3 linked regions of the Arabidopsis thaliana genome follow. The protein of the gene in region 3 purifies or fractionates together with the protein of the main gene of each other region. This does not show direct contact. Each region holds a gene or a part of one and is shown on either strand. Other genes may lie near its edges.

Region 1 (7,701 bases), on a different chromosome or scaffold from region 3:
TCAAACCAATACTAAGACTATTAGGTGTGAATTCAAATCCTGGTGAAGAAAATCTAGACATAAATTCACAAAGACATACCATATTCTCTGTCATGTCTGCAATCTGAGATACTCTTGCTGCAGGAGAGTGCAAAATCATCAGCTTCTGTAAGAGTGGTGATGCTGCTAACTTCTTGTTCTTCTCCCTGTATTACCTTCTGCTTCTAAAAGGAAAAAGACAAGATTTTCTCAGAGACTGGTAAGCCGGAAAAGCATTCGATATTATAGAATAGTGAAGCTATAGTTTATGGAAACTAACCTGGACTTTCTGGCTGTTAAAGAATGAAGTGCAGTCAGAAACAGATTCACTCTCTGTTAAAACTCTATCAAGACTGCTTTGAGTCAATCCGCTATATTTGGAAGGCGATGAAATCATCGCATTCGCTCTATCTTTTGAAATGGAACTCAAGGGCTCTTCTTGGATCAAGCTAGAGCTAGATGATTCAATCTTCGTTGTCAATTCCCTGAGCTTCTGCTCCAAAAGCGCATTTAAAGAATCACCACCTATCACATTGAACCTTATAGCAGAGTCTGCATCTTGTTTGGTTCCTTGTGAATGAGGAGATGATAAACCTTTGATCGAAGATGAGAAAGTGAAAGATATCACATCCATGTCCCTTTTCTGATCATCTTTACTAGTACTCGAGTCGCCATCAATGGAAATGTTACATTTTATCGACTTTTCACCCCTTTTGATCCGCTTATCTTCATAAATTCCAGATTCTTGCACTCCATTCCGCGGTTTTTTGCTTCGAGGAAGACTCTTTTTGCGGGATAAAGGTAAAGAAGTGGGTTTTTCTGCTGATGACATAGTAAATCCTGAGCTCTTCGATATAGATCCACTTTCCACAAGAACCTTATTTACTACTTTGTTCATTACTCTCCTGGATTGCTGATTGTCTCTGCAGTTCTGCTTCTGGTTGTTTTGCCTAAGCACATTCTTTCCGGTACTCAAGGAAGATCCTTTGCTACTGTTTTGGCTTTTAACCGCCCTATTCTTAGCTTCCACTTTCTCCTTTTGTCCCGAAGACATCCTCTTGTTGCCACTTGAAGACATTGATAAGCTGTCTTGCTTCTGATTACTGCTGACTTTTGCTTGCGCAGCGAAAGAAGGTGGCTTCACTTCACCACCTTTCAAAGCATCATAACTGTTTTTCCCCAATACTGTAGTTTTCTTCTCGTTTTGATCTCCTCTTAGGTACCTACTGTTCCGAGTATCATTAGAGATTTGAGGAACTGAAGTTGACGCTTTCTGCGCAGCTTCAAGTTTCTCTTTCAAATCTCGAATCCTCAATGGAACTGGAGAAGAAGAATCAGACGATGACACCATCCGTGTTCTTGCAATCATCCGTGGACTTTGCTCGATCATTCTTGAAGCAGCTTCCATTACATAAGCAGGGTTCCTAGATGGAACAAATCCAGGATTCCTTATTGGAGACAAGAGCTTATTGTGAGTGACAGAGATCGGTTTAGCTGATCTCGGGGGTAAAGTTTCGGTTTGAAACCGCTCAATCATCCGTTTACGCGGCCCTTTACTGGTTCTTGAATCCAAATGATCCCAAGAAACACCATCGAAGTCACTCTGACGATCAACATTAGCATCCCAAGTGTTTGCTTGGCGCGAGGATCTGAGAAAGTATGGATCAAGATCAGGATTAACCCGTGGTTCCAAAACGTTTGGTAGTGGTAAACCCTCTAAACCCATAAGCCTCGCTACCACACTTGCTCTAACCACATTTCCATCATCACTAGTAACAGATGAAGCACAACAGCTAGAGTCACTTCTCGGGTTGTAAGTTGGGTTCTTTACACTCTGATCAACTTCAAACTGTTGTAAACAGATCACACCAAAGAACACAAATAGTTCATGTCATTCAGTAAACTAACACAAAACAAAACATTGCATCAAACAAGGAAAATGGTGTTGAGTAAGAAAAGGCTTACAACAGAATGCGGCGTAATAGAGGGGTTTTGAACATTCTCTTTTGCTTGCTTAGATTCTTCTGTTTTAAAAGAAGAAACTTTAGATTATTAAACTTCATTACCTTAACTTATATATACAACAAAAGCTGGAAGACATACCAGAGAGTTGGGAGAGATTGGAAGAGAAAAGCTTCTTCCTGGATTTTCCATGCCAATCAAACAGATTTAGAAACGCTCCTCTTGGTCTTTTTCTCTCAACGACGTCCATCTTAATTTACCTATGGATCAAAACAATTGAATCAGTTTAATTTCAATGGAATGCACTTATAAGACGCTGGATCCCATCAAACAACAAGACCCCAGATAAAAAAGATCAAAACTTTTCCATTTTATTATAATGAATCACCCAATTTCAGCTGAAGGATATAGAGAATGTGATTGATATAGCAGAAGATTAAAGGAAATTAGATCAGGAATGAAATTTGATTACCTCTCAGTTTCTCAGGCTGCCAAAGATCTCATTTTTTACTTATGGATCCATCCATTAAGTGTAATTTGCAGAAACCCTATACCGAATTCAGCAAAATGAGAACCCAGACAGACACAGCTGAGAGATGTTTTGCAAATTGGATTGACCCAAATCGAAACAATGGTGGCTTTGGGAGATCTAGCCCTAAAGATCGACCAAAGCTCTCCACTTTTATCTCTCTCAGCTCACGAATCGCACTGTAGAACAAGAACAACGACCATGGAAGAAGATAAAAACACAAAATGAGATTTATCAAATCAGACAAACAAAACAAAGAAAATATTTGGGGGGTTTTGGAGGAATGCGTAAGATCAGGAAGGCTCAAAGCAGATTTGAGATTAGGGATTTGGGTAGTGAGCTAAGAGAAGTGAAGAAGCAGCAAGAGACGTTTTTAAAAAAATGAGAGAAGCTGAGTTTGAATTGAAATGACGACAGAGAGAGCCGTTGCAAAGAGAGAGAGAGAGAGAAAGACAGACAGAGACAAAGAGAGTTTTGAATTTAGGAAACTGAAAGCTCCCTCCTTTGAGCTATTAAAAGTGTTTCTTTTTTCTATACATAAAAGGAAAATCTTTTGTTTCAACAACTATTTTGGCTTTTATACATATAGCATGATCTCATCTACAAATATATATAGCTTGATGATGTTTTTTTTTTTTTTTTGTCACAAGCTTGATGATGTTTATATTTGGTATCCAATGCAGATGGAAATATATAGCTTGATGATGTTTATACATGTTTCAGTTCAGTTTGCAGTTTCAAACATAAGAGAATTTGAATTGGTTAGGGGACAAAAAAAACACATAATTTAAAAGAGGTCATAACGATTCAATTTTCAGGTGTAGAAAAATAAAGGCAAAGACTTTATTGTAAACAGTGCAATCACTGTATATATTAATATTCCATTTTGATTATTATAAAATTATTTCGTTGGGCATTACCACAATTCATATTTGTGTCCGTCTCACAAGGGCTCCACTTTCGTATAGTTTTGAATATTTGTAATATGCTGCATTCTATGATTCGAATTACTTAAAAGTTCAAATTTTTTTTGGACTCTTGATATTTCACAATCAGTTTTTTTTTTTAAAAACAGAATAAATGAGTAGAGGAAGTTGTTGTGGTTTGAGTTGCTTCGAAGTAGCGAAACCAAAGAGAGTAGAGTATATGAGAACGATGTCTGAACAATTCGATAAAATCCCTAGGAAGCTTTACACGCATGAAGACTTGAATCTCACAATGCAGAGCCGATAGTGAATTCATACTTTTCAAAGTTAAACTTCCGAAAATAAAATCAAATTAATAACATTTCAAAACTTTTAATCAGTAGTTTACTAGCTGTTACAAACCGAAATATTTTAATAAACAGAGAGAGAAAGTTAAAGAGACAATGACAAAACACAAACCAACATGGTTGAAAGGTTGACTCATATATATATATATATATATATATATATATATATATATATTGAGTATTTAATTTCTTATTTTTAATTCCAAAAATCATTATTTTAGATCAATAGTTTTTATTGATTTTTTTGTAAACTATTGAATAATAGAGAATTTTAAATTTTCCTAGATCCCTAATTCCAACATACTTATTTCTCTGTTGATTCTTTTTATCTCCAAAATCGACTTTAAAAGATTGATATTCAATAGTTTTAATCAAACAGTTTCTATTTTAAAAATCGTTGAAACCAAATCTCGTGGATTTCTAGATCTATAACTATTAATTCAAGAAGATTTAGATATTGAACTTTTGTTTCGGAAAGAAATAGATATAAAATTATTTCTTCGAGGACATATAGATCGTGCTCACAAATCAGATTCTATCTAGTATGATGTGTCGAGGAAATAGACTGTTTTCCGGAAGAGATAGTCGAAATTCGTATATGGGCCAATCTTTATAAGAAAATAACCTTTAGAAAAGTTACACTAGAAGAAAGTCCGGCCCATCTTTATAAGAAAACTATTATGGGCCAAAATAAAGGTAGGCCCATTAACCCAGGGAAATAATATATCAGTGATAAATCCTTCTTCTGTCCCCTTCCTCCTTAAACCCTAATCTCTGTACTCTCTCTTCCTCAATCCCTCCCATGACCACCGCAGTTTCGCCGCCGCCGCCGCAGGAGCAGCAACTTGTTCACGCTTCGCAGACTTCAAGAGTGAGTCCCAAGACAGTGGAGAGCGCCCTCAATGGTCTTATCAATTGGAGAAGCGACAAATCAAAGACAGAGAAGCCTCAACTTCTCGAAGAAGACGAGCTCGTCTACCTTTTCGTTACTTTGAAGAAGATTCCACAGAAGACCCGTACGAATGCTTACCGTATCCCTTTACCTCATCCTCTTATCAACCCGACGGTCGATTCGCCGGAGATTTGTCTCATCATCGACGACAGACCTAAAAGTGGTCTCACCAAAGATGATGCGATGAAGAAGATCAAATCTGAGAATATTCCAATCACCAAGGTTATTAAGCTTTCGAAACTGAAGAGTGATTACAAGGCGTTCGAAGCGAAGAGGAAACTCTGCGACTCTTACGACATGTTTTTCACTGATCGGAGGATCATTCCTCTGCTGCCGAGGGTGATTGGGAAGAAGTTCTTTACGAGCAAGAAGATTCCGGTGGCGCTTGATTTGAAGCACAGGAACTGGAAACATCAGATAGAGAAAGCTTGTGGATCTGCTATGTTCTTCATAAGGACTGGGACGTGTAGTGTCATTAAGGTTGGGAAATTGTCTATGGATATTTGTGAAATTACTGAGAATGTGATGGCGACATTGAATGGACTAGTTGAGTTCTTGCCTAATAAGTGGACGTACGTTAGGTCTTTGCATTTGAAGTTGTCTGAGAGTTTAGCTTTGCCTATATATCAGTCTGTTCCTGATTTGAAGCTTAAAATCGATGCTTTTGGGTCTGGAAAGAGTGTTGTTCAGGAGGAGAAGGAAGGTGAAGTTGAAGAAGTTGTTGCTGTTGATGGTGGAGAGAAGAGTGTTACAGGGAAGGGAAAGAAGAAGAAAGGTAGGATTCACGAGGTTAGGTATATGGATAGTAATGTAGCTGAGGTGCTTGATGAGGATGAGATTGGTGGTGACGAGGATAATAATGAGATTGTTGAGTCTGAGGAGAAGAAGATGAAGAAGAGGAAGAAGGAGGTAAGTGAAGTTGCAGAGAGTGAGAAGCCGATGAAGAAAGCTGCCAAAGGGAAGTTGAAACCTGATGTTGAGAAACCGATGAAGAAAGCTGCCAAAGGGAAGTCGAAACCCGATGTTGAGAAACCTATGCAGAAAGCTGCGGTCAAGGGGAAAGTTAAACCAGATGTTGTGAAGCTGGAGAAGAGCAAGGACGGCTTAAAGGCGAAAAAGACAACAATGGTTGCGAAAGACGAATCTGGTGGTGGATTGAAGCCGAAGAGAAAGAGTGTGCTTAGGAAATGAGGCAGAGGAAGGTCTTGAGTGTTTGCTTTTGAGTATGATTTATGTTTTATTTTCTATCGTAGTTCTTATTACATTTTTGAGCCATTTCATATCTTGTACTACTTCTATGAAACATTGAACTGGTGAATGTGGGTTTGATGGTTTTGTGGAGGAAACATACTACTGTTCACCTTTTAACTTTTTAAAGGTTTTTCTTTCTAAACAAAGACTATTTATCTGAATTTATTGCAATAAGCATTGATCAGGTTATGATGGTACTTGCATGATCTTGATCCCCATCTCTTAGTAAATGGCTCACCAAAGCTTTAACCATTTAAATCATATAGAGGTCTCTTAGAACAGTTATACCCAAAATCTGCATGAGTTTTTTTATTACTCGCAAGCCAGCACAGCACTTCAGGCTTCGTCTTTCAGTCATAAGAAGAATTAAAAGTTGATATGATCTAGAGAAGACATGAAATAAGGAAATGCAAAAGATCAATGGAAACAAAATTTATGATAACTAAATAGAACACTGTTTATGAGCAATTTTTTGTGTAGCTGCATATAAAAATAGGGGGAAAAAATTATAATATTAAACTAGTGAAGTAATCATAAAGTTGTATGTAGTAAACATTATCATACAACGACATAGGCTGGAACTTAATGTGGTCACAATTATGTAAGAACCTCGACCATTATGCAGCCAGCCTCTGAATGGTTTACCAATTATTCTCCTGATCATAAGCACCTTTCTCTTTCTGCTCTTTTTTAATATGTTTAATCCTTTTTGTATTTCTCATTTTCTAATCACTGGACCTCTGTACGGAACTCTCCATATCACAAAGTTATCTGGAGGTTGATACTCTTCAAGCCATGTCACATTTGAGATCACTTCTCCATTCATCACTTCAATCTCACCTGGTTTCACATATGATGTCATCAACAACATTGCCATAGTAACAAATGATAGTCTTAAACCAAATCTGTTTAGCAATACAGATAATGAGCATGTTCTATGAGAGTATGAGACCTTTTCTCTAATCAACAACCTAGTGGTTTAAACCATGATTCTTCCAAAATTGTTATGAAAGCTGTTACATTACGAAATATAGTAGCACTTTTAAGAAGTTATAAACTGGTATTTCGTGAAGTTTGTGATATTTTACCAGGTAAGTCTAGCATTGGGGATTTTCGGAAGTAGTTGCAGTGTCTGCCATGAGTAGAAGAGTATGGAGGAGATAAGATGTCGAAGATTGCACAATGAGTAATGGCTTTGAAACAATGAATGTTGCCACCGGTTGTTGGATATAGAGTGGTTGCTGGGCTAGGGGAAGTCATATCAATATCCTTGACCAGCTTCGCGGGTCTTGCTATGAGTAAAAGGGAACAACATATTACTCATTTTGAAATGATTCATATAGCACGGAAGTTATACTGGGGCAGTTTACAAGTCACTTTTTACCTTGTAATGGATCGTCTAGCTCTGATTGGTCAGGCTCAGCCCAATCATATGACTTAACGTGCATTGAACCATAAACAAGCTTGCTTAGCACTGTCATGCCTGGATGATTATGAAGTGGTATGATAGACCCAGGTGGCATGCAGAAAATTCCAATCTGACAAAATAATGATCAAAGCATAATAAGCAGACAAGTAAAGCAAGAATATTGCATTTCAGAACTTTGTTTAACTGCAGTAAACATGTGGAGCGTGTTGCTCCATGGCTTAGGCAAGGGCCATACCAGGAACCAAAATGATTAGTGATGATGAGAAATTTGGTTTCAACATGAGAAA
Region 2 (7,724 bases), on a different chromosome or scaffold from region 3:
TTAAACAAAAGATAATTGATAAAACCATTCAAATATTAGTGACAACAACAGCCGATACAAATGCTACAAACTCTCACTACCATATGTGGAAGTCTGTACATGATGCAAGCAAATGCTAGTTTAGTTATATTATGTGGTGCTCAAGATTTATGAAAGATAATAACGCAAGATCTTTGCCTATTGTCAAATTTTTATATAATTTCCATAAGAGATTGTACCGCCAGTTATGTAGGCCAATGTTCACAATAAAAAACGAAATGACAGCAACCTCATTTGGTAACATAAGGATGACTGTGAACACATGTTTTTTTGTCTTATAAAACAAACACTTGCCTGGCAATGTCATTGTTTAGATCAGGAGTATTCATACACCTTCCATTTGTTCTCTTACTTTCCGATTCCGCTGCTCCTGAGTTACCACTGCACATTAAAAAATGAAAACATCAGCCTTCTTTATGCATTACAACCATTTTTTTCAGCCAAAACGTTCTTGTAAGCCAGACAATAATGACTAAGAAAATGCCATGAACTTTTGCAGCTACAAAAATCATATATGCTTTTGAAGCAAACTCATCAATTGCAGTACATATTGAATTCACCTCATCTGATAGTTAAGCCCAATACTCTCACAACGTAACTCATAGCTCTTGCATTGTAGTTGACTAGAATGGACTTTAATGGTTACCATATTTCACCTTTTATCAATAAAGATAATTGACAGAATTTGAGGGAACATGACGACACCCAAGTTTTAAGAGAGAAGTAGCATGGAATCTATATACAACTACTTAGCATTGAAAAAGTTTATCAAAACTACACCACTGTTGAAAGGAAATATATATTGACTAACAATTTAACCTGAAATCAGCAGGTGGCGGTTCCTTGATGACCTTTCTCCGCAAAACTTCAGTAGCTATGTTTGGCTCGCCTAGTGAACGACTGAGGAAACAACAAAAGTTACTTTTATACGTGCATAACGCTTTTGCTTGCCCTATAGAGAAACATAAGATATATATGGTAGCAAATATACAAACATAATCAAGAAAACTAAACAAGTATGCTTATCACCTTAAACCGGATTGTAATGCAGATGGTGGACCAGACCGTTCCATGGGACTGTTTGGCTCCAATGGTGAAGCACAAGGGTTATTGTCTACAAAATCAGGCTGCCATGCCATTGAGATATGAGCCATATAAACTGCCTTGGGTGAGAAGGGTTTAAGCTGACCAGGACATCGCTTAAGGTCGACTAGCATTTCAACATTATTGAGCTCAACCACAGCAGAGATATGATTATATGAGTCGATGCTAGCAGAAAATCTCAGATCAGTAGGGAAACCCTGATCAAGAAATTTAACCGAAATGCCAAGTTATCAGAACCAATCAATGACATGAGGAAATTGGAGTTATAACCAAAGCCACTGATCACGTTTTTATACAGTACATACCATTACAAGCTTACTGTCAAGACCAACAGCATCAGCTAGAACTTTAAAGAGGATTGCTCGTGCACGACAAGAACCATGCTTGATTTGTCCTAGCAGGGTAAACCCTTGAACGTCAAAATATTGCAGCGTTCTTGCCGGACTCTGCAGAGTTTTTCTTTTATATATATTTGCCACCTGCCATAAGAAGGAAAAATCCAATTCAGATTTCCCGATAATCTAAAAGAATATAATGAGGTTGCTGAAATAATGTGATGTGCCTTAAGAGTCTAATAAATGGGATTACAGTTATTTGTTTTCTTATTCAGAACCAAATATTTATTGCATGCAGCGATAAGATAAAGTAACAAAATGACATGCATTGTCGCCAAAGTTAGTTCACTAGAAAATGAGATGATAAAAAGATGCTCGCCCATTCTTACCAGTCCAGCAATTTTCTTAATAACTTTATCGGAGTCCAATCCTGTGACAAGTTTGATGACAAACTCCTTTATCAAAACAAGCTGTATATCGTTCTTAAGATCTACAAAAATCGCATCAGCCTTAAGACGATCTTCCCCCAGCGCATTAATTTCTTCCAATGTAGGAATGCTTTTAAAATGCATCAATCTCTCAACCTGTTGAAAAATTCAACAACATAATAAGATAAGAAAATGATTGTTGACAAACAGCAGCACGTAACCAAGCATTAATAAAGCTAACTGAAATATTATTGGACAAAGATAATACCAACCTAAAGATAGCTTACCGGGATCACAGTGTAAAAACCACTTGGGATCGGGTCTGATAAGGACCCAGTACTCCAAAAAATATTCGATGCTTCATAACTTGACACCCCATCTTGATCAAGATTAGAGGTTTCTGCTAGTGATCCCTGACATACAGGCACGTATATCTTCTCAACTTCTGAAGGCCTCAAGGTAGGACTTGGTGGATTTGGTTCTGATGGTCCAGCATCATCAGTATTAGAGGTTTCTACTAGTGATCCCTGACATACAGGCTCGGATGTCTCCTCAACTTCTGAAGGCCTCAAGGTAGGACTTGGAGGTCTTGGTTCTGATGGTCCAGCAGCATCTCTTGCCTCTACCACAGTCATCTCCCTAAGGTCTAAAATCACAAGAGTGTCTCCTTAGCCCATAGGTTTCACTCAAGAAAAGACGAATAACGTAGGTACCAAAATATTAAGAATCAAACTTCGCTTACCAGTAGCTTGGACCTCTAGGTCAGCTAACCTACATAGGCAAAAGCAGAATGGTTAAGTAAATATAGACTCGGATATACTGTTGCAGAAATAAATGTTTCAGTGACATACTAAGTTGCATTCCATATATTCCTTATCAAAGCATTTAACTAGTAGACAATTCTCAAAGACTGGCTACAAAACTTATTCAAAGTGTTGGACTTTTCGATACTTATAGAAGAGATTCACTTCAATAATTCAGCCTCAGAACTTACGACAAGATCACGGAACCATTTGATTCCACCACTGATCCTCGGTGACCTCTGCAACACTTAGCTCCCATTTTCAAGTCCTCGGTTGCAAAATTTCAAATTCCTGCATAGATTTCAAAACCCATTTCAAAATAAAATCCCACCAACTTCGATGGATTCAAACACACAAGAACCCATAAACCAAACGGTCTAAAATCATATAAGAAAAGGCTAAAGAGCAAAAGAAGAATAAGGGTTTATGAAAAAACTCACAGAAAGCAGATAAACGTCCTTCCAATTCCAAAATCCAGCAATCAATCTGCTTAAATCGCACTGCGAAACAAGAGAAAGACAGAAGAGAGATCTGAAGATTGCCATGATCAAGCAACAAAGAGCTAAACGTACACACATATAGAGTATGTGTACGTATATGCATAGAGATTTGCAACAGAGATTCATGAGATAAAAATTGGATTTTGGAGGTTTTGAAAGTTTTGATTTTGATGGCGGAAGAAGCAAAAACACAGTCAAGGGGTTTTACGAAAGTGACGAAGCAAGTCACGTGCGAGGGATTATGAGTCACGTGCCGAGAAGCACTTATTCACAGGATATATTTCATAAGTACAATTTTGTCCTCTACCTACATGGATTGTTTTTGTCATCCATTTCTATCTCAAAGATCTTCGAAACAAGATACATATTTGATAGTCATTACACTATGAATGACAATATATTATCAGATTGTTCATGCATATGAGATAGATTTCTTAAAAGAGGATGATGTAAATGAACAAGAATCTAACAAGAGTTTGATGAAAAATGAGGATGAACTTTTTTTGAAAAGAGTATAATAGAAAATCAACGAATGTATTCAATCTTCGAAAAAGATTGCAATAAGAATGACTCAAGAGAATTCATCCTACTTCAATATTGATGTTGATTATGATACTTACACGTCAACAACAACAGATCATCAAAGTGTTTGGCAGTGCGGCTATTTCTTTGTTTGTCAAAAACCTGACATTTCTATCATTTCATGTATTCTCTCAATGAACTCAATAAGATATCACACATTTTGGTTTATAAAGAAATCCCTCCATTTATATAGTACTTACATAAAGAAAAGTGTTTGAGAATTTTGTTTTGGTTATCTAAATATTGACATTTTCAATTAATGTGATTCTCACTTTTTTCTTAAAGAAATATTTATTTTTAAAGTTTGAAGAGCTATAAGAGGAATTAGACATTTTGCGAAGGGAATAAAAACTTGAAAATAAAGAAAACAATTTTATTAATAATTATATTGTCCAGGTGTATATACTTTATTTCTTTGTATATAAAAATTAGCATCAAATATATTTGGTAAGTACGTTTTAGACAAGTATGGTAAATGACAGCCAAGTACTACATGACTCATATTTTATATAATTAATTTCATATTTTAAATTTATATCTATATCTACATTAACATGAAATAAAAAAGATTTCATGTATTGATAAAATAAGCTAGTTTGTCATAATTTCCTATATCTTAAATCTTACCAATTACCATCTTCTAAAAGTTTCTCTTACCACACAAAAAAAAAATCTTCAAAACATTTCTCCTATGCAAAACTTGAGGACAATTTATAAAACAACATAGTTAAGCCCATTAACTAATATTATGGGCCTTAAGAAACGCAAAACAAACTCGTTTAATAGAAAAGATTTCTCCGATGCAAAAACTTGAGGACAATTTATGAAAACAATATAATTAAGCCCATTAACCAATATTATGGGCCTTAAGAAACCCAAAACAAACTCGTTTAAAAGTCATCGTCCTCCGTAAACCCTGAATCTTCCTTCACAGAACCCTAAATAACTTTTCTTTTCCTCCGACCACCGCAGCTCAGCCGCAACCGCCGCCACCACTTATGTCAAGAGTAAGTCCCAAGACTGTGGACGATGCAGTTAAGGCTCTGGTCAAAGAGGGAAACGAAAAATCAAGGACGGAGAAGCCACAGCTTCTAGAAGAAGACGGATTCTTTTACCTAGTCGTAGCCCTAAAGAAGATTCCACAGAGGAATTTTACGAACGCTTATCGTATTCCTCTCCCGCATCCGCTAATTAACACTACCGAAGACTCACCGGAGCTCTGTCTCATCATCGACGACAGACCTGAAAGTGGTCTCACCGAGGAAGATGCGAAGAAGAATATCAAATCAGAGAACATACCAATCACGAAAGTTGTTAAGCTTTCGAAGCTGAAATCGGATTATGGATCATTCGAATCGAAACGGAAGCTTTGTGATTCATACGATATGTTTTTCTCAGATCGGAGAGTGATTCCTATGTTGCCAAAATTGATTGGGAAGAAGTTCTTTCAGAGCAAGAAGACTCCTGTGGCTATTGATTTGAAGCATATGAATTGGAAAGAGCAGATTGAGAAAGCTTGTGGTGCTGCTATGTTCTTCATGAGGACTGGGTCTTGTAGTGCGATCAAAGTTGCGAAATTGTCCATGGAAAGCGATGATATCGTTGAGAATGTGACGGCGACTTTGAATGGTGTTGTTGATGTTTTGCCTAGTAGGTGGAAATACATAAGATCTTTGCATTTGAAGTTATCTGAGAGTTTATCTTTGCCATTATATCAGACAGTGCCTTATTTGCAGCTCAAGATTGATCCTTTAGGTGTTGAAGAAGTTAAGAATGGTGAAGGATTAGCTAAAAGTGATGTTGATGATAGTAGTAGTAAGAGTGTGAAGACAAAGAAGAAGAATGGAAAGATTCATGAGGTTAGATATATGGATAGTAATGTATCTGAGACTCTTGGTGATGATGAATTCGATAGGAGTGTTGGAGAAGATGAGGTTGCTGATGATCTCAATGCTTCTGGAGATAAGAAGAAGAGGAAGAAGATGAGTAGTAGTAAGTCTGCAGTGAGTGGGAAACCAGACATTGTGAAGAGTAAGAATGGGCAAAAGTCGAAAAAGCTAAAGAAGGACATTGATGAGTCTGGTGGTGGATTCAAAGCTAAGACTAAGAGGAGGTGAACCAAGAAAAGAAGATTTTATATTAATGTCGTTATAACTAAGTATTCTATTCTTTCTGCTTGAGTGATTTTTTTGGATACTGATTATGACTTTGTCTTATTATGGTATCATCATCATGATTCTTATATATTTAGGACTTTTATTATCGTTTACTATTTCATCAAACTAGTGACTTGCCATGTAGTTGATTTGGTGGTTTTGACGAGGAAACATATTATTACATGTGTTTTGTTGCATTCCAGAATTGGTGTTGTATTGAATGCAGAGAAACCGCTAAGGATAAGTACTTGCAGGATCTGACTCAAGCCTGATCCAGATCCTGGCTAAGTACTCATCCCATGAAACGGCTAAGGAAAACAAAAGTCTCTACTCTTGAATCTCTTTTAAAGTTAAACTTCATCTCTCTAGTATGTTGGTTACGGTTCTGATGATGTCGACAACAGAGAGAGCGAGAGCATTGTGTTGATATCATCTGTTGGTTTTTGCCTGCAATTTCCAAACTCAGGCAACTGTATCCCACCTCCGGACATTGATTTCAATCGTTTGACTGATGATACTTCTTCATCTCGGACTCTTTTCTCATTGTTCTTCTTCCTAATCTGCATAAGATTTCACCAAGATTACAGTACCTTCCTCGGTTTTTAACAAAACTGTTCCTCTATAACTCTTAAAACGAAAGTAGGTAGTTACCTCGAGTAGAGGCAGAGTCTTGTTCTCTGTGCTGTCTCGGTCATTTCTGCATAACCCGCTAAACCAGCTCGAAGGTCGCATAAGAAAGTTACCTCCAAGATTTGTAACGACCGCGTCTTGATTGAGTACCCTACAGAAAAGAATGCAATTTTAACTTCCTTGGTCGGATCGGATATACAAATGTGAAACATTTTAGTAACTGGAACTTGTTTCTTTGTATGACCTCGAAGGAACGGTTTTAGAGTTATAGGCATGTCTTAAATCGCTATGAGGGATACATCGAGAGTCGATCATGTCCATCAAATAGCTTCTTTGTCCACTCATGAAAGCTCCAAATCCTGTTCAAAAGTCATTTCCATCAATTATGAAACCCAGTGAAGGAATGGTAAATGTCTGCGGATCAAAACTAACTTACCAGGGCGAGAAGACGGCTCGAGCTTCTTACTTCGATACATCTTGAAATCAGAAACATGAAAACATTGAAAAAGATGAACAAAACTGAGATAATCTTAGAATAACAGACGATGAAGATTACCTGTAAATGACTCTTGACATGTGCAATACTCAATCCTTTTAGATTCATCATCTCAAGAACCAATTTCGGCGTCGCTCCTTTAAAATCATACAACAATTACATTACAAAGCTGAGAGAGAGAAAGAGAGAAAGAGACGTGGAGAGAGAGAACAAGAATCCTACTGTCTGGACCGCCTAGTCGTTGGACAGCACGAACGAAGGAGAGATGAAGATCAGGCGTCCAACGAAGCCGAGGCATGTTGGACCGAATATACTGTCTAACGTTATTCGTGATTTGGTCTTCGTCTTCCACTGATGACTCTTCTTCATTGTTCTTCTCCACTGTTTCTTCTCTGTTCAGGTCAAGCCACGTGGAGCATTTTCCCGGCGAAGATCTCCCGGCCATGTCTCTCCGGCGAGAGTGTCTTTAGCTAGCTCTCGAGATCAATTACTCAAAAACAAACAAAAAAAAACCCATGAGAGAGGTTAAATCTCTATGATAATTTCGGCGTTGGCTTCAATAATACTAGCTATAATCATATATATACACTTATAAGTATATAATATAGTCTTATTTGTCGTAAACTATAGTATATAATTATATAGATATAT
Region 3 (8,749 bases):
AGGTGAGAAACGAAGCCGCAGAAGATTTTCTAGCTCTTCTCAAAGAATGGAAAAGGCTCTGTGAGAAGTTTTCTCTCGTTTCAAGCACCGAACCAGTGGAATCAATTTCTGAGTTAGAAGATGAAGAAGTTGAAGAAAATGATGACATAGATGAGGCAAGTACTGGTGCTGAACTCGAACCTGGAGAGTTTGAAGTAGAAAAGTTCCTTGGCATCATGTTTGGAGATCCTCAAGGCACAGGGGAAAAGACACTTCAACTTATGGTATTGTTTCCTGAACTATAAATCCGAATTCTCAATTAGTTACAAACAAATTTCATCCTTTTTAAGAGATAATTCAAACATTTTTATCTTTTATTTCATCTCAGGTAAGGTGGAAGGGATACAATTCTAGTTATGACACATGGGAACCTTACTCTGGCTTAGGGTAACTTTTCTATATTAACCTAGTTTTGTATTGATAATTTCTTTGATAATTACTTTATATTTCTCCAGCAACTGCAAGGAGAAGCTGAAGGAGTACGTGATAGATGGGTTTAAGTCTCATCTCTTACCACTTCCGGTAAGATAATATCTTTGCTTTATATGATCTTTTTAATATAAAGCTATTTACAATCTTAACTAAATGTTTGATGATTTTTCAGGGTACTGTCTACACAGTGTGCGGTGGGCCCCCTTGCCAAGGGATCAGTGGGTATAACCGGTATAGAAACAATGAAGCACCGCTTGAAGATCAGAAGAACCAGCAACTTTTGGTGTTTTTAGACATCATTGACTTCCTCAAGCCAAACTATGTGCTGATGGAAAATGTTGTAGACCTTCTTAGGTTTTCAAAGGGTTTCCTGGCACGTCATGCTGTAGCTAGCTTTGTTGCGATGAATTACCAGACGCGGTTGGGCATGATGGCTGCTGGATCTTATGGGCTCCCTCAGCTTAGAAACAGGGTTTTTTTATGGGCTGCACAACCATCAGAGGTAAATATATGTTACAGAATATTTACCACTAATATATTGTCTTTTGAGGAACATGATCTTTATTGCTCTCTCTTGATTTGTTTGACAGAAACTTCCCCCTTATCCCCTCCCAACACATGAAGTTGCTAAAAAGTTCAACACACCTAAAGAATTCAAAGCAAGTGTGGACAGTTGTACATTTAAATTTAATAGACTCTTATAAGTTATAACTGCATTGCTTATTCATCTGTTATAAATGTAGGATTTACAAGTTGGACGTATTCAAATGGAGTTCCTTAAATTGGACAACGCTCTTACGCTGGCTGATGCTATTAGTGATCTGCCACCGGTGTGTATCTAAACTTCAGAACTGCCATTGATGATTATGTTACAATATATCTGTCTGATCACTGCTCTCTTAGTGCTGCAGGTGACAAATTATGTGGCAAATGATGTAATGGATTATAATGATGCTGCTCCTAAGACAGAGTTTGAGAACTTTATTAGCCTCAAAAGATCTGGTGAGCATTTTAAACTCGTAAATTTGGTAGGTACCACTAATCCAATACTAACGTATCTTTCTTGTTTCAGAGACACTTTTACCCGCATTTGGTGGAGATCCGACACGCAGGTTGTTTGATCACCAACCCCTCGTATTAGGAGATGATGACTTGGAAAGAGTTTCCTACATACCAAAACAGAAGGTGCGACATTTTTAAAGTACTTGCTTCAAGCATTCAATGTATAATCATTTCTTGTTCATGTCATTGTATTCTTATTGTTACAGGGGGCAAACTATCGCGACATGCCTGGTGTTTTAGTTCACAACAACAAAGCGGAAATTAATCCTAGGTTTCGAGCAAAGTTGAAATCTGGAAAAAATGTGGTATAAAATAAACCACTCGCAACCTTATCATTTTTCTGCTCTAGTTTCTTTTTGCACCTTCTATATGACATGTCTTTTGGTTTTCACAGGTCCCTGCTTATGCAATTTCATTCATAAAAGGAAAATCAAAAAAGTGAGTTTCTCCAACTAATATGCTTCTTGTGGATCCTCTTTCCATAACGTAAGAATGTTAAATTCATTAAAAGTAACACATCTGTTATCTGAATTTCAGGCCGTTTGGTAGACTTTGGGGTGATGAAATCGTTAACACTGTTGTGACAAGGGCTGAACCTCACAACCAGGTAAGCCCTTTTGCTTTCATTTCCCATGTGTCTGGGTACGTTCCACTTAGAATTCTCTAGTGGCTGGTTTATTAAAACTGGTTGATGCAGTGTGTAATCCATCCAATGCAAAACCGTGTGTTGTCTGTTCGTGAGAATGCGAGATTACAGGGGTTCCCTGATTGTTACAAGCTCTGTGGAACAATTAAGGAAAAGTAAGTCCTTGGTTCTTGCTGCTTTTCTATCTATGTATATGATTGTTTTTAAACTGGAGATCCTAATGTATGTAAAAACTGGGTTTGAATCTAAATTTTGTAGGTACATCCAGGTTGGGAATGCTGTGGCAGTTCCTGTAGGGGTTGCATTAGGATATGCCTTTGGTATGGCGAGTCAAGGACTGACGGATGATGAACCAGTAATCAAGCTGCCATTCAAGTATCCCGAATGCATGCAGGCAAAGGATCAAATCTGATTGACAGTCTCCATCAAGTCGTCATGATGAAACTATCTTTAGGAATCATACTTCATTTTCTAGACTTTCTTTTAATTTTTTGGGTTAGCAAGAGCTATATGCTCAAACAATGGCGGCTTAAACTGTCTAGCTCTTTCTTGTTGGTTTATCTTTGACTTTATAATCATTTGGAACCATTTTATTTCTTATGATTTTTAATCTCAAGATTTCAAATTCTATTGCGTAGACTTCAATCCTACGTGATGCCATCCAACAAGAATTAAGACCAAGCAAAAGACAGACAAAACCTGTTATTGAGCATCCGAGGTGCTAGGTACGTCCGTGATCTCTCGACGAACATTGGTTCGATTTTGCGTAATTCAGTTGCCACCGACCGACCGAAACTCTGGTCAATGATCACCACTTACCAGCTTTTATTAGTGTTATTCATTCATTCGCAAAAGCTAAGTAAATTCGAAGGCAGTTAGGCCCACAAGCCCATATAATGGTGAAAGATTTGGTTCACCCAAATAATGTCCCCACTCCTTCGGTTGGGCTTTTACGTTATAATATTCGGCCCAAATTTGATATCTCATAACAGAGCAAATTTTTCACATAGAAGAAGCAGAGAAACCAATTGATCTACTTTTTTTTTTTTTTTGTTTCTTCCTCTTCATCAGGCTTGTTCTTCGATTCCCTCACTTAAAGAAGGGTTTCGAATTTGCTCGAAAGATTGAAAGGAAAAAAAGAAAGAGGTGAACCATTCTCAACATAAATTTGTTGTTTAGGAGATGTAAGAATGATAATTTCTTGGATCTAATCGCGTTCAGAAAGTGAGAAAGTTTTAGGATTCATAAATATCTTTGTGTTCTTCTCCACCCTAATAAACACATTGATACAGAGATGGAGGATGAACATGTTATGATTGATCTTGATGACGTTTCAAGGCACATTGACATTCCAGCAGATGCTCCTTATACTTTATCAGTTAGTTCAATCCAATTCTTTCATTTCACTTTTTGCATTCTCTTGTTTTATAAGTTTGGTTTTGTTTGGTTCTCATAGGGTTTGGATACTTTGAATCCGGTGTTGACCATAGATGGCAAAATGAAGCTGGTAATTCTCTTACTTGCAACTAGTACAATTTTCCAAGTTCAGTTACTCTTTTTGCTTAAACCATTCTTAATCGTGTTAGATTTGATGATCTCTCAGGTAGGAGAATATATAGCAACGATTGGTACATGCCTTGCTTTCTCTGACAAAGGTTAGTTTCACTTTTCCTCTTTATTATCAAACATGGAAACACATGTTATTGTTTCAAGTAATTATTCTGTCCCTTCAAGATGCTGATTTGGGGTTGCGGTTTCTTCATTTGTCTGTTTGCACAAGGTGATAACCAGACGCCACAGAAGAAGACAGTTGAACCTGTTGCCAAACTCCACAAGATTCTCAAGTTTAGGTTAGCACCATTAGACAACGAAGATGGAGTAACAAAAACAACCAATTTGTAAAAGTTTTTCTCTTGTTCAAGTCATTGGAAACCTGACTTTTCTTCAAAGATCATATTAAAAAAAAGAACTATAACAATAACCGACAGATTATATATGTAGCTAAGGCACATGCAGCATCTTCCTTTGTTGGCCTCTTGAAAGTAGCAATCAAACTAAGACCAAACCAAAAGGTAACTAAACGATTCACAACTTCAACGTACGTTTTCATGATTTGTCCTTCTGATGATGTCAATAAAATAAAAACTGAATTGAATCAACCAGTGATGGAGAAATTATGCATCCCATGTAATTAAAAGAAACAAAATCACACAAGATATTATAAAATAAAACTAGGTATATTCAAAGGCAGTAAGGCCTTACATAAGCCCATAAATATTGGGCTTTTTTAGCCCAATAGTATTATGAGTCTGGCCCGGAGCGTAATTAGGTCTGGTGGCAAAGTTGTTAATAACACAAAAGAGATTTTAGTTAATAAACCCTAGGCTTCTCAAATCGGCCATTGCTACCAACTTCGACTTGGAATTCTTTCAGCCGCCGTCCCAATTGCTTTGCCGCCACCGGTAAATTTGTTCCCCCTTTTCCGTTCTTCTTATCTTGTTCATTCTGTTGGTGTCCCTATAGCCTCACTTTCTTATAGGGTTGAGTTCAGTCTCTGTTTATAAACTTTTTTCGCAAAAAAATTCAATCTGACAATCTGTTTTGTGTTGTAGAAGCAAAGAGTAGAGAGATAATGGCTGAGGAAGAAGCTAAGGGTTTGGATTACATACCGGAGATAGTACTGAAGAAGAGGAAGAACAGAGATGAGCTTGCCTTTATCAGGAAGAAGCAACTTGAGTTGGGTAATTCCGGCAAGAAGAAGAAGAAAGTCTCTGATATCAAACGTCCTGAAGATTTTGTTCATGAGTTCAGGGCTAAGGTACACTTCTTTTTTTCCAGATTCTCTGAAAAACTTTTGCTTTGTCTTTTTCCATTCGTTTTACTGCCTCAAGTTCTGATTTTTGCTTCTTGACTTTTGTCTACACCTTAGAAGAACTTGTTTTTGCTTATTCTTTGAGTTAAATTAAAGCTATACATCAACCTTTATGATTAGGTTTTGTCACTTATCTCTTAGACTGTAACTTTTCTACAGATAATTTTGTGTTTCTCCTTTGAGATTTCTCCCTAGTTTTGCAAGGTTGTGCTTAGGACTTGTTGTTTCTTCTGTCAATCCTGCATTGTTCTCTGTAATTTAACTGTTCCCTTTTTGCTAATTTTATCCCTACTTAAGGAAGTAGATATGATCCGGATGAAGCAAAGAGTAAAGAGGCCAAAGTCATCTCCTCCACCAGTTAAATCTGACCTGGTTTTCATCATACGCATTCAAGGGTATTTGATATTCTCCAATTAGCTTTGTTTTCCCCCTGGAGTTTTAATCTTTATCTCTGCCTGTTTCTTATCCTTGCCTTTTCTTTCTGGTGACCAGCAAGAATGATATGCACCCAAAGACCAAGAGGATTCTTAACAATTTGCAACTAAAGAGCGTCTTTACTGGTGTATTTGCTAAAGCAACTGACAGTTTGTTCCAAAAGCTTCTCAAAGTGCAGCCTTATGTCACTTATGGGTACGTAGAGACAATCAATCCTCTTTCAATATTTCCTTGTTACTCGATTTCCATGCTGTTTCTCTATTCTCGTATGAGCTAACCGATGTTTACGATTCTTGAAGATACCCGAATGATAAGAGTGTTAAGGACCTTATATACAAAAAGGGATGCACAATCATTGAGGGAAATCCTGTTCCTCTTACCGACAACAATATAATCGAACAGGTAAAATTTCCTACTCTTAAAAGTATAGGAGCTTATTCCAGATAATAACCATGCTGTTCTTAATCGTTTCCACTTTTGTTACCTTAGGCTCTAGGAGAACACAAAATCTTGGGCATAGAAGACCTTGTGAATGAGATAGCAAGAGTCGGAGATCATTTCAGAGAAGTTATGAGATTCTTGGGACCCTTGAAACTCAACAAGCCTGTGGCTGATGTTTTGCACCGGAAGAAACAAGTTTTCAGCGAAGGAGGAGATACCGGAAACCGCGAAGATAAGATCAATGATCTCATCAGCAAAATGAATTAGAAGCAGCAATCGTTGTAATCGCTAGCTACTTACTATATTTTCCTTAAAAGATCTGTACGAGGCTAAAAACCAACCATTTTGATGAAACACTTGCAATTTTGGTTAAAGGGCATTCCAAATTTTATAAGCATCGTCGACTTCAGATATTATATTATACACATATATTTATGTGATGTAAACAGAGTAATATAGAAGCGAGTGTTTTTCATCTTCTGAAGCTCCTCCTCTCTTTGGGTGCTTCATCTTCCTCTGGCAACTTGACAATTGTGTATGTACCTGCTCCGATTAACGCTCCAAGAATGGGGGCAGTGAGGTAAACCCAAATAGCTCTGTAATTGTTTGCTGCAATGGCTGGACCCAGTGTTCTTACAGGGTTCATCGAAGCAGAAGTTGCAGGTCTGTTGGACACAACATCATGATCAGTAACATGTATTATTATGTACAAGAACTGAATTCAAGAAATGATGGTTTATTTACCCAGCTATAAGTATGTTAAGCATGACCGTTGCTCCTACGGCAATTCCCGCCAACTCTCCCACCTGTAATCTTGTGATTAGTTTTCATTGACGTCCAAAATTTCAAGACTCTTCAAAAACGTTTTTTATAAGTAATTTACAGCTCTCGTGTCGGTGGCTACGGCTGTGACAACGAACATGAGGTTGAAGCTGATAATGAATTCCAAGGCGAAAGCTTGGCTGAGACCCACCGTCGGCACCGTCACGCCACCGCTCATCGTTGGTTCAAACACTGCTTTCAGTGCAAACGCCGCACTCACGGAGGCCATCACCTGAGCTCCGATATACACCGGCACCTAACATAAATTTAGACACCAACATTATTATTTTTATAACAATTATATAGAACCCCTTTTATATGATCAGATTTTATATATACTTTTATTACCCATGTTAAAATTCAATTCATAATACAACATGCATGTGCATGTCTATAGATTTCATGTGGTTCTCTCAGTAACATCCAAAAATGTGTTAAAACAAATAAGATTAAACTACTGACGTGTTTCCAAGGGAAGTGTTTGAGAGCAGCAAAGGCAATGGTTACAGCCGGATTGAGATGTGCCCCGGAGATGTGACCGGTCGATAATATAACGATCATAACCGCCAAACCAGCCGAGGCGGCGCAACCAATAAGCGTCTCAGCTCCATCTGTCTTCTGGTTCACGATCGCCGTCGCTGTTCCGGCGAATATCAGGATCAATGTCCCAACAAACTCTGCTCCCAACTTTACAAGCACATATATGTACTGGTTCAATGCTCAGTGAATTGGAAACATGATTTATATGGAGTGTACTTGTAATGAGAATGTGTACATATGTACCTTGCGGTAGAGGGAAACGTTAGGGGGAGGGAGAGAGCAAGTGACCGGAGGGAGTCTTCCATCTTCAAGAGCCCATTCATTGTCAACACTGAAACATTTGCAGCTTTTGAGAAGTGACTTTGGTGTGTATCTACCATTGTGTCCATTCCTCTTCCCTTCGAATCCTCCAAAGAGCGGCGCTCCTGGAGTCCCCGGGGTTGTCGCCGGCGTTGAGGGCGTGGATGGAATTTCCTCATGATCCATGTCGAGGGTAGAGATAGATGAGATCTAATTAATTTGAGGATATATGTTTTTGCTATGATTGTTTTTATGTGATGTAGAACTAAGGGATGCGTAGGGTACGGTATTTATAGAGGAAGGCATGAGAGTTGACTTATGAGTGAAGGACCCAAAATAGATGATTGATATTTGGTTGGAGTGAGGAGTAAGTGGGTTGGTAATCCTTAGTTTTAATGCATGTGTCCTAAGGAAGACTCTTTACATAACATGAAATGTTGCTATCTTTATGAGAATGGGTCGTGTATTGTATCTTTCATATTTCTATTTACATGATACATGTATCGTGTACTAAAGAAGCTTTTGAGATGGAGCAATAATTGTGGATCCTTTTCTCTATCGATCGACATACATTATTTTGCATAATATGTTCTTCTCCATGAGAATGGAACTCTTGCGTTTGTGTGGTTGTAAGTTGTTAGCAAAGAGAATGATGATAAAAGCGATGGTTCTTGACCTTTCCTTGTCACAGAATGTGACTCACAGTCGACTCTCTTTTTGTAAGGAAATAAATGATTTGTTTTAGTGTATAATCCTTGCATGTATTAACACCAATTATCGATGCAGATGGTTGTATAGTTTGCAAGTATAAAACATGATTCCTCCCCTCGGAAATTCAAGGCTTTATTAAGCCTTTAATCTCCCCATGCAAAAACTATCCGCAAAATATGCAATTATGATAAGATGTATATTATTATCACGTTCCAAGTGAGGCTCAAATTAAATATTCTTGTTTACTAACAAAAGATAGGTGAAAACAAGATTTTACATGTCAAATAAAAGATTTCTGTGAGATGTATATTCTTATCATTAAAATTTAAAATCACTTTTGAGTTCATCTCTTTATTTAATTCTTTCGAATGACTCTTGCATATAATTTGTATACTTTTAACGTTATTCCTTTTCTATCTATAAAAAAACGAAGAATCTGTGATGACCCG

What was found. The genes of interacting proteins can lie anywhere in the genome.
Region 1: the proteins of AT1G80750 (region 3) and AT3G58660 fractionate together in Arabidopsis thaliana (co-fractionation; one large-scale study listed by BioGRID). This does not show direct contact.
Region 2: the proteins of AT1G80750 (region 3) and AT2G42650 fractionate together in Arabidopsis thaliana (co-fractionation; one large-scale study listed by BioGRID). This does not show direct contact.

What each region holds. Positions count from the first base shown.
Region 1 is NC_003074.8:21,696,990-21,704,690, forward strand, and holds AT3G58660 (Ribosomal protein L1p/L10e family), read left to right. Parts: upstream 1-4,544; 5' UTR 4,545-4,584; coding exon 4,585-5,925; 3' UTR 5,926-6,125; downstream 6,126-7,701. Other genes in the region: TRM7 (GPI-anchored adhesin-like protein), read right to left, coding at 80-203, 299-1,867, 1,984-2,042, 2,122-2,230; AT3G58670 (2-aminoethanethiol dioxygenase, putative (DUF1637)), read right to left, coding at 6,704-6,825, 7,074-7,277, 7,370-7,523.
Region 2 is NC_003071.7:17,760,741-17,768,464, forward strand, and holds AT2G42650 (Ribosomal protein L1p/L10e family), read left to right. Parts: upstream 1-4,437; 5' UTR 4,438-4,789; coding exon 4,790-5,908; 3' UTR 5,909-6,148; downstream 6,149-7,724. Other genes in the region: AT2G42640 (Mitogen activated protein kinase kinase kinase-like protein), read right to left, coding at 334-420, 859-939, 1,069-1,340, 1,449-1,622, 1,868-2,062, 2,194-2,552, 2,649-2,677, 2,901-2,968; AT2G42660 (Homeodomain-like superfamily protein), read right to left, coding at 6,325-6,507, 6,599-6,728, 6,822-6,936, 7,014-7,053, 7,134-7,210, 7,296-7,518.
Region 3 is NC_003070.9:30,344,241-30,352,989, forward strand, and holds AT1G80750 (Ribosomal protein L30/L7 family protein), read left to right. Parts: upstream 1-4,429; 5' UTR 4,430-4,641; intron 4,642-4,791; 5' UTR 4,792-4,811; coding exon 4,812-4,997; intron 4,998-5,348; coding exon 5,349-5,446; intron 5,447-5,543; coding exon 5,544-5,681; intron 5,682-5,785; coding exon 5,786-5,888; intron 5,889-5,975; coding exon 5,976-6,194; 3' UTR 6,195-6,324; downstream 6,325-8,749. Other genes in the region: CMT1 (chromomethylase 1), read left to right, coding at 3-263, 368-426, 495-561, 644-973, 1,062-1,130, 1,215-1,301, 1,383-1,473, 1,544-1,656 and 5 more; AT1G80745 (Transcription factor TFIIIC, tau55-related protein), read left to right, coding at 3,474-3,557, 3,636-3,686, 3,783-3,834, 3,960-4,081; NIP6;1 (NOD26-like intrinsic protein 6;1), read right to left, coding at 6,400-6,592, 6,672-6,733, 6,811-7,005, 7,212-7,436, 7,533-7,775.